2 linked regions of the Ovis aries genome follow. The protein of the gene in region 1 binds, or shares a complex with, the protein of each later gene. Links are inferred from orthologs where the notes say so. Each region holds a gene or a part of one and is shown on either strand. Other genes may lie near its edges. The genes, in order: WASHC4 and WASHC3.

Region 1 (3,516 bases):
ATAACCACTAAGCTTTTTAAGCCAAGAATATGGTAAGAAATAGTATTATAGCATGAATTGGGTGGGCAGAACTAAGCATTGCTGTGTTTAAGAGTACTTAAGCTTTTAAATTGATCTTCCCTGGTGGCTTAGACAGTAAAGTGTCTGCCTACAATGCAGAAGAGCTGGGTTCAATCCCTGGGTCAGGAAGATCTCCTGGAGAAGGAAATGGCAACCCACTCCAGTATCCTTGCCTGAAAAATCCCATGGACAGAGGACAGAGTCCATGGGATCGCAAAGAGTCGGACACGACTGAGAGACTTCACTCAAGCTTTTAAATAAAGCAGACCTACTTTTCTGACTCAACTTTGCTTTAGATTATGGCTTTAGGGAAAGTACTAAACTTCTCAAGTCTTAGTCCCTTCATCTGTAAAATGTACATATTTTAGTAAGCATCTTATAACAAGGCACTGTGCTTGGGTTAAGTGGTGATTGAGGGAGTGCTGACATTTAAAGGATTTGGAAAAGAGCCATTATGAGATACTTACACATACTGTGACCTCACCAAGAGGCTTTTTATATGAGGCAAGTGTTTCAAATCAAAAAGGCAGGAACTTAGAAGAGATCCTATTTATAAGTTTTGAAATGTCTGTTTTAGGAACTAAATTCTGACGACTCTCTTTAGCACAGTCGTTTCTCTGATATGTTGTTATATCTTTTTAGACCCTCAACTTTGTAGAGCATTCCATTAGTTGCAAGGAGAAATTGAATAAAAAAAATAAAATTGGAGCTGCCTTTACTGATGATGGCTTTGCCATGGGTAAGTTTAATGAAATTCTTTTCCCATGAATTTTGTGTTTACCTTACAGTGAATTTTTTGAAATGTTTGCTTGAGAATAGATCTATGTGCTCTTTGTAGATTTGTTTTTCACAAGCTGTGTTTATTTACTGTTTACTTTTTAGGTGGGTCATCTGATTGGTAATGCTTGTTTCCCATCATTTGTACTGTTCATGCTCCTTTGGTGTTGCTAATCACTTGGATTAATTATTTAGGCTTTGTTTTTGTTGTAGTTTTACAGTCTGACCATCTTTTATTTAGTCTCTCTGCTTTCCTTATCGTTTCCTCACTTGTCTCTTTAGCAGGAGAACCACTCTTACAGCCCTGTGTTATCTCCAGGTGATCTGCAGATCTTCATAGCCATATTATTTCTTTTTATCGTCCTGATTGGCTTTTTAAAAAAAAATTTCTTTATAGGATCACATCTTTTTAAGGAGGAATTAAGCCATGTTGCTAAGTTTCTCATTTGTGCTGTAAAGCATAATTGGAAAGAGGATTAATTTTAAAATGGTTAGCTTAATTTTAAGAATTGTTGGTAGAGTGGAATACAGTTTGTGTACACATTGTAATTTGATTTGGTTTTGCTGATGACTCTAGGTGTGGCTTACATTCTGAAGCTTTTGGATCAGTACCAGGAATTTGACTCACTTCACTGGTTCCAATCTGTTAGAGAGAAATACCTGAAGGAGATGAGAGCAGTTGCTAAGCAACAAAATGTACAGTCAACTAGTCAGGATGAAAAACTACTACAAACCATGAATCTCACTCAGAAACGACTGGATGTTTATCTACAGGTAGAGGAGAATAATAGTCAAATCTGGTTTGACTTTTTAATACCCATTACTTCTTGATCACTGAAAAAATGTCAATCATATTGAAACTCCCATTTTAATAGGTGAAATGAATAATGGTCATAAAGAGTATATTTTTAAATGAATGATACTTGGAAGCCATTTGACTCATATCTTTAAAAATGGATAGATTGCTTAGTTCAGTTTCTGTATTTATGATGTGCACTTACTAGAGCATTTTAGAAAAATGAAGAGATATTAAATATGGTAATTTTGATATTTTGCTAAAATATATATTTTCAACTTTTATTTCTGATATTTTTATTTACTTAGGAATTTGAATTGCTGTATTTCTCACTGAGCAGTGCAAGAATTTTCTTCAGAGCTGACAAGACTGCAGCTGAAGAAAACCAAGAAAAGAAAGAGAAAGAAGGTTAGTGAGTGGCTTTTATTTGGAAAGACTAGTAAATCTTTCATCAATAATAGATATGAATACCCCATTTTATTGAGTCAGACTTTTCTTTTTGAAAAAATATATAAGCCTAGAAATATCCTTTTTTTAAAAAGTAAAGCCTAAGTGGATCATTTGTGAAACTGAAATTTAACATGCATTTCATTCTGGAATAACACTTTATTCAGCTCATCTTCTCTTAATTTAAAATTGCACCAAGTTTGGGTTTTTTCTTTCACCCTTCAGCTGTTAGCAGTTGAGAAGGAACAGATTAGAGGAGACTAAATGCTGCTGAGGGCAGGACTGCTGACTGGATGCTGACTGAATGCCAGGCCAAGTGACTCAGGACGCTTTCAGTATCAGAGTGAATAGCCTCCTGTGCCCCTCTATAGCCGGAGCTTGGAGAATCAGAGCAGTACAGCCATAGTAACTGATGGTCACTGGGCAGAGGATTCTGTCTGATATCATCTATGCGGGTGTAAATTCTTCAGTATTTCATACTTAAGGGACCCTCATGATCATTTCCCAGATTTGAAATTTAACACCAGTTGTTTTCTCTGAAAAATGGTAATTTCCTTTTTTCTGTTATGGAAGTTATGCCGCTTAGGCTTCCTCTGTGGACGCTCAAAACTACGTACAGCAACTTGACGGGTTTCATGTTTGCTCTGCTTCCTTTCTTCATGCCCGTATTTATTTCACAATGATCAAGAATAAAAGAACTTCATGAACTATGATATTTTTATTAATCTTATCAGTTAAATTTTTAAAATATGTATTTCACACTGAAGAGACATCATTCATTTCAGTAGACCACTTACATCCATTACCCTGTTTCCTATTGATAATGTTACATCAGTATTACTAGCATATGCAAGCATTTTTGGAATCTATACTAAGTAAGTGTGCTTGAAAAATGATTTCAGGCTGTTGCCTGGAAGATACTCAGTATTTATTAAATGAAAAAATATATTTACTACTTTGGGGTTCATTTAAAAATAATACTTAGCAGAGTCATCTGGAAGAATCTGAGTCAGTAGTAACTGAACTGTGAGTTCAGTTTAGATTAGAATCTAAGAGTTTAGATTCAGTAACTGAACTCTTAGAATCTAAGAGTTTAGATTCAGTAGTTCAGTTACTGCGTAGGCTGTGCTCAGGCCTGTCATGATGCCAGAACTTTGTCTGCAGGTGGACTGGATATTTACTTTTAAAGCCTAGAGCATTAAGACAAAATAAACATTGCAGTCTCAGTAGAGCTCCTTGCTTTGGACTGCTATTCTTAGGAACTCTCTGGGGTTTGGGGTTAATGTATGTCACCCAGATATCTGCCTGATGCCTGGGTGGTGGCTCTGCTGTAGGGCTGTTAGCTAAAGGTTGCTCAGAGTTGCTAAATGTATTAGCTAAATAGTTTTGCTCTGTTAATGAAATATATGCATATGAAATTTTGCACAAAAAGCCAG
Region 2 (4,559 bases), about 2.8 Mb from region 1:
GTTTTGGTCCTTGTTTAAGGCTTTAACTAAACAAAGACCACAGGTTTAATAGCTGCTATAAACAAATAACAACCCAGTTTGGAAACTGATCTTAACTTGGGAGAAAATGGCCCTTCATGTATGAATATGTATATTATATCCCTGGAGTTTATCATATAAAAGACATTTTATTAAATAGAAATGGCATGGTAAAGAAGAGAACACAAATCTAAAAACTAAATTTTGAAATAGCTATAAAGAAGACAGTGTAATCTCTCACTTGAAAATGATATAAACATGCCTCTTATTCAATTAGATGGTGCAACAGAACAGAAGATTGCAACCAGGTAACAGATCAGAATTGGAATCCCAGCTCTTACTTTCTAGCTGTTTGAATGTAGGCAAGTAGCTACTGCAGCTATAAATACTATGCCCTCAAATATATGAAGAGTGCATGAATAAATGACTAAGTAAATGATTTAAGCCTTTCTACATCTCAGTTTCTGTGTTTCTAGAAAAGAGATAATTGGACCTTTCTTAAAGGTCTGGGCTGTGATAATTAAGTACACGTAAAGCACTTAGCACAATGCCTAGCACAGAATAAGTACACAATAAATATTATTGTCATCACACCAAGTAAAAAGTCTACAATTGACATAAACATCCAAGATGAATGCTACAAGCTGAATTCTAAATGAGTGACAGTCAATCCTAAATTACCATCCATTAAGGAGAAAAAGGCAATTAGCTACTTTTAAATTTCATGAATTTTTGTCAACAAAGTTTTTTCTGGGGTTCAAGGAAGCAGCAGGAAATAGTGATATAGTCAAAACAGTTGGAGGGGGGTAGTTGAGAGAGGAACAGAAGGGAGGAAAGAATGAATCATGACGCTTTGATAATGGATAAGCAATCAACAAGATAGTTTTTGTTATACTCTATCTGTATGTGTGCTCAGTTGTGTCCAATTCTTTGAGGCTCAACTCTCAGAGACCTGACCCTTTGATACCCTGTGGACTGAAGCCCATCAGGCTCCTCTGTCCGTGAGATACTTTGGGCAAGAATACTGGAGTGGGTTGCTATTTTCTTCCTCCAGGGGATCTTCCCCACCTAGGGATCAAACCTGCGTCTCCCGTTTCCTGCACTGCTAGCAGATTCAGCTGAGCCATCGGGGATTCCCCACAGAAGGGGTATTTAATTTTGAGTGGTCACTGACCTTTTGTAAAGTAGAATTTGCAAGCTTATGGAGAAATACTGTCCTATCTGTGTGGGAATTTTCTCTAGCCTATGGACTGAGCACAATGATTTTAATATATTAAAGTATATATAAGTGTATCCTGTTCTTAACACAGAATAATGGCCCCAAGGACATCTATATTCCTACACTTTATAGGCAGCAACCATCCCTCTATGAACAGTCTCATTCAAAGACTGGATCGTGGGGGATACTCAAATGATGAACAGTAATTTCAGCACTCAGGTAGTTCATGACCCCAAAGTGGAGCCCTAAGGTTTTACATGATCCTCAAGTATTAAACAAAACTGATCAAGAACACCTTTTGGTTTTAGATCACTGTCCCACTTCTTTGTCCTCTTTTTCTCCTTTCTTCAAACCAATTTCAAGTCATGCTTCCCATTTTCCTTCCCACTCTCTTTTAGTTTTTTGTTAAGACAGGTGTCCCTGGATATGGTACCTAACCTGTCACTGGGCTGTGTGTGCATGCTATTGTTTCCGACCCTTTGCGACCCCATGAACTGTGGCCCACCAGGCTCCTCTATCCACGGGATTTCCCAGGCAAGAATACTGGAGTGGGTTGCCATTTCCTAGTCCAGGGGATCTTCCCTACCCAGGTATCAAGCCCATGTCTCCTGCACTGGCAGACAGACTCTTTTACCACTGTGCCACCTGGGTCATTGGGTTACTTGATCCTTAATTCACAACTCATTTGCAGAAAGTATTTTTACTTCTATCATGATATTTGATGCCCAAGTTATGTTTCTAGGCTACCTCCCCAATCATCTTTTCCATGAAGCAATGTAACATAATTTTAATAGAAACTGAAACAGTATATATTTAAAATGCAATCCTTAGGGTAAGAGAAACTTCAAAATTAAAAAAAAGAAGTTTTTGTGAAATCTGGGAACTGCTTTTGTTGTTTAATCACAATAAACCTTACTGAACTATTTCACAAAGCCTCCAGAAAGTTCATTCAGCAGAGATGAGCTGTAGGAACTGACGGTAATAGAATCAAAGAGGATTTAAGCTATGTCAACACAATAACTGGGGGACAAGAGGTCATAGTACATGACTGCATACACCATAATTCTTACTTTACTCATTTGTTACCTTCTAAAGTGCAAGGTGACATTGGGCCACTCATTCAACCAGTATCAAAGGACCTACCTCCTCACAAACTGTAGAAAAGCGGTTGAGGAACTGTACAGTGTGCACCACAAACTGGTTTAGAAAAGCCACCGTTCTTTTCTGTTGAATAGCTGGCACCTGTTTTACGTAAAAATAAACATGATCCGTACAGGCCGAAACGTACAGCACGAAATCACCTTGATATTAATAATAAGGAGGCGTTCTCCTGTGTGATAGTTACTGGAAGTACTGCGAATAGTCATTAACTTGTTTTCCTAAACTGTGGGGGTGGGGTGTCCAAAATGACAGAGGCTGCAAAGTTTGAGAACGGGTTCTGGATTCACAGATGCGAACTTTCGCAGGTAAAGGGAACACACACAAACACACGAAAAACTGGAAGGGCCAAATATAAAAGAGGTCGGAACAGGTAAGAGTTCTTACCCTTGAACATAAGAACTCGTGACTCGGGAAGGGAAGGAGAGGAGAGGCAAACTACTCCCGCCCCACCTTAGAAGGCTCGGGAAGGACCCATTTTTAAGGTGAACTGTGGAACCCTCCCTCCCAAGAGAGGGGGAAGACACGCACAGGCCAGGGTTGGGCAGAGTGGTGGGGTCTTTCTGGGAACCCAGAGTCCCTTCCCCATCCTCCTCCCAGGTCGCCGAAATCCAACTCCATCTTTACAAACCTTAGTTAGGTCTATGCCTGAGCCCATGAGAGGAAGCCCATCCTCATCCATCTCCTCAGCGGGCGGGGGACTCAGGGCTCACCCCCAAACCCCTCCCCAGCCAGGCCCGCCCAACGCGGTAATAGCGTCCGAACGCCTCTCCTAGTCCACGCCTCCGGGTCCGGGGAAACGCCGGAAGGAAACGCCTCCTCCCGCCAATCACTCGGCGCCTTCCAGAGAGCCGGCCCATTCGCACGGCATTCTGGGAATGGTAGTTCCAGCTCCGGATTGTGACGTCAAACAAGGCGGGGTCGGGTGGAGCAAGGCTGTAGTCTAGCAGTCTTAACTACCTACCTCCAGTCTGGCCCCACTCCAAAATAAAAAAGTAAACCGTGGGGTCTGTTTGAGTTTATCCCTGCTTAGTCTGGTGTGTTATATATGCAGCTAAGTTATTCGTTAATTAAAAAAAAAAAAGTGCCAGATACTATGCTAGGCCTTGTGGTGAATACAAAGATTGAATGAGGTTTAGCATATGTATCTATAGAGAAAACTATGCATTGGAGAAGGAAATGGCAACCCACTCCAGTGTTCTTGCCTGGAGAATCCCAGGGATGGGGGAGCCTGGTTGGCTGCCGTCTATCGGGTTGCACAGAGTCGGACACGACTGAGGCGACTTAGCAGCAGCAGCAGTAGAGAACTATAGAAACGTTATCCTAAGTCGGACGATTGACAAAAAAAAATTTTTTAAGTGCTCTTTAAAAAAGAAAAGAAATATAATGCTATGAGATGTAATTTCTAGTTAACAGAAAAGTGGGAGTGTCTCTCCATCTCCTAGGATCCTTGATCATTACTGTTCATCAATCATCCATAGCTCCTGACAGCAGTGCCACTCACAACTTAAGTGAATTTCCAGGGCTGTTAAAGACAATATCTAGAAGTTTTGGACAACTGCCAGAAATCCTGTGGAATATATAATCCTTCCTCTAGAGTTTCTCTCATTGGATTTCACTTATTGTACTAAATTCTGGAGACAAAGCAAGTAAATTGTAATGAATACTGATTTGAAGAGTCAGGCATTTGAAATGCCACCTGCATATAGCCATTAAATTAAAAAGTCTTTAAGAATCTTTTAATAGTTATCTTTGTTTTCATAGCAGATAACTAGAAAGTCACTTTTATCATGAGTCAGTTCTTAGGTAGGGGAAATGAGAAGACTGTGTTCCTATTTCTTTGTTTTTCTTTCTGCTCTGCTTCAGGATGAACAATTAGAGGAGTATAGTATTGGTTCAGCATAGTGGGAAAATAAATTTAAATACCCCCTACCCTGCTCCCCACTTCCCCCAGGAGTGATGCTGTGCTTAGATCTCTCAGATGTGTCCGATTCGTTGTGACCCCATAGACTGTAGCCAGCCAGGCTTCTCTGTCTGTGGGGATTCTCCAGGCAAGAATAGTGGATTGCCATGCACTTCTCCAGTGGATCTTTCCAACCCAGGGGTCGAACCCAGGTCTTCTGCATTGCAGGCAGATTCTTTACCATTGAGCCACCACGGAAGC

Evidence for each region.
Region 2: WASHC4 (region 1) and WASHC3 share a complex: the UniProt entries of both Homo sapiens proteins name them as parts of the WASH core complex. The link is inferred for Ovis aries from reciprocal best matches to the Homo sapiens genes WASHC4 and WASHC3.

The regions. Positions count from the first base shown.
Region 1 is NC_056056.1:174,303,906-174,307,421, forward strand, and holds part of WASHC4 (WASH complex subunit 4), read left to right. Parts: intron 1-702; coding exon 703-799; intron 800-1,414; coding exon 1,415-1,611; intron 1,612-1,941; coding exon 1,942-2,041; intron 2,042-3,516. UniProt on the Homo sapiens protein: Acts as a component of the WASH core complex that functions as a nucleation-promoting factor (NPF) at the surface of endosomes, where it recruits and activates the Arp2/3 complex to induce actin polymerization, playing a key role in the fission of tubules that serve as transport intermediates during endosome sorting.
Region 2 is NC_056056.1:171,460,398-171,464,956, forward strand, and holds the start of WASHC3 (WASH complex subunit 3), read right to left. Parts: upstream 3,100-4,559; 5' UTR 3,078-3,099; coding exon 3,027-3,077; intron 2,480-3,026; coding exon 2,381-2,479; intron 1-2,380. UniProt on the Homo sapiens protein: Acts as a component of the WASH core complex that functions as a nucleation-promoting factor (NPF) at the surface of endosomes, where it recruits and activates the Arp2/3 complex to induce actin polymerization, playing a key role in the fission of tubules that serve as transport intermediates during endosome sorting.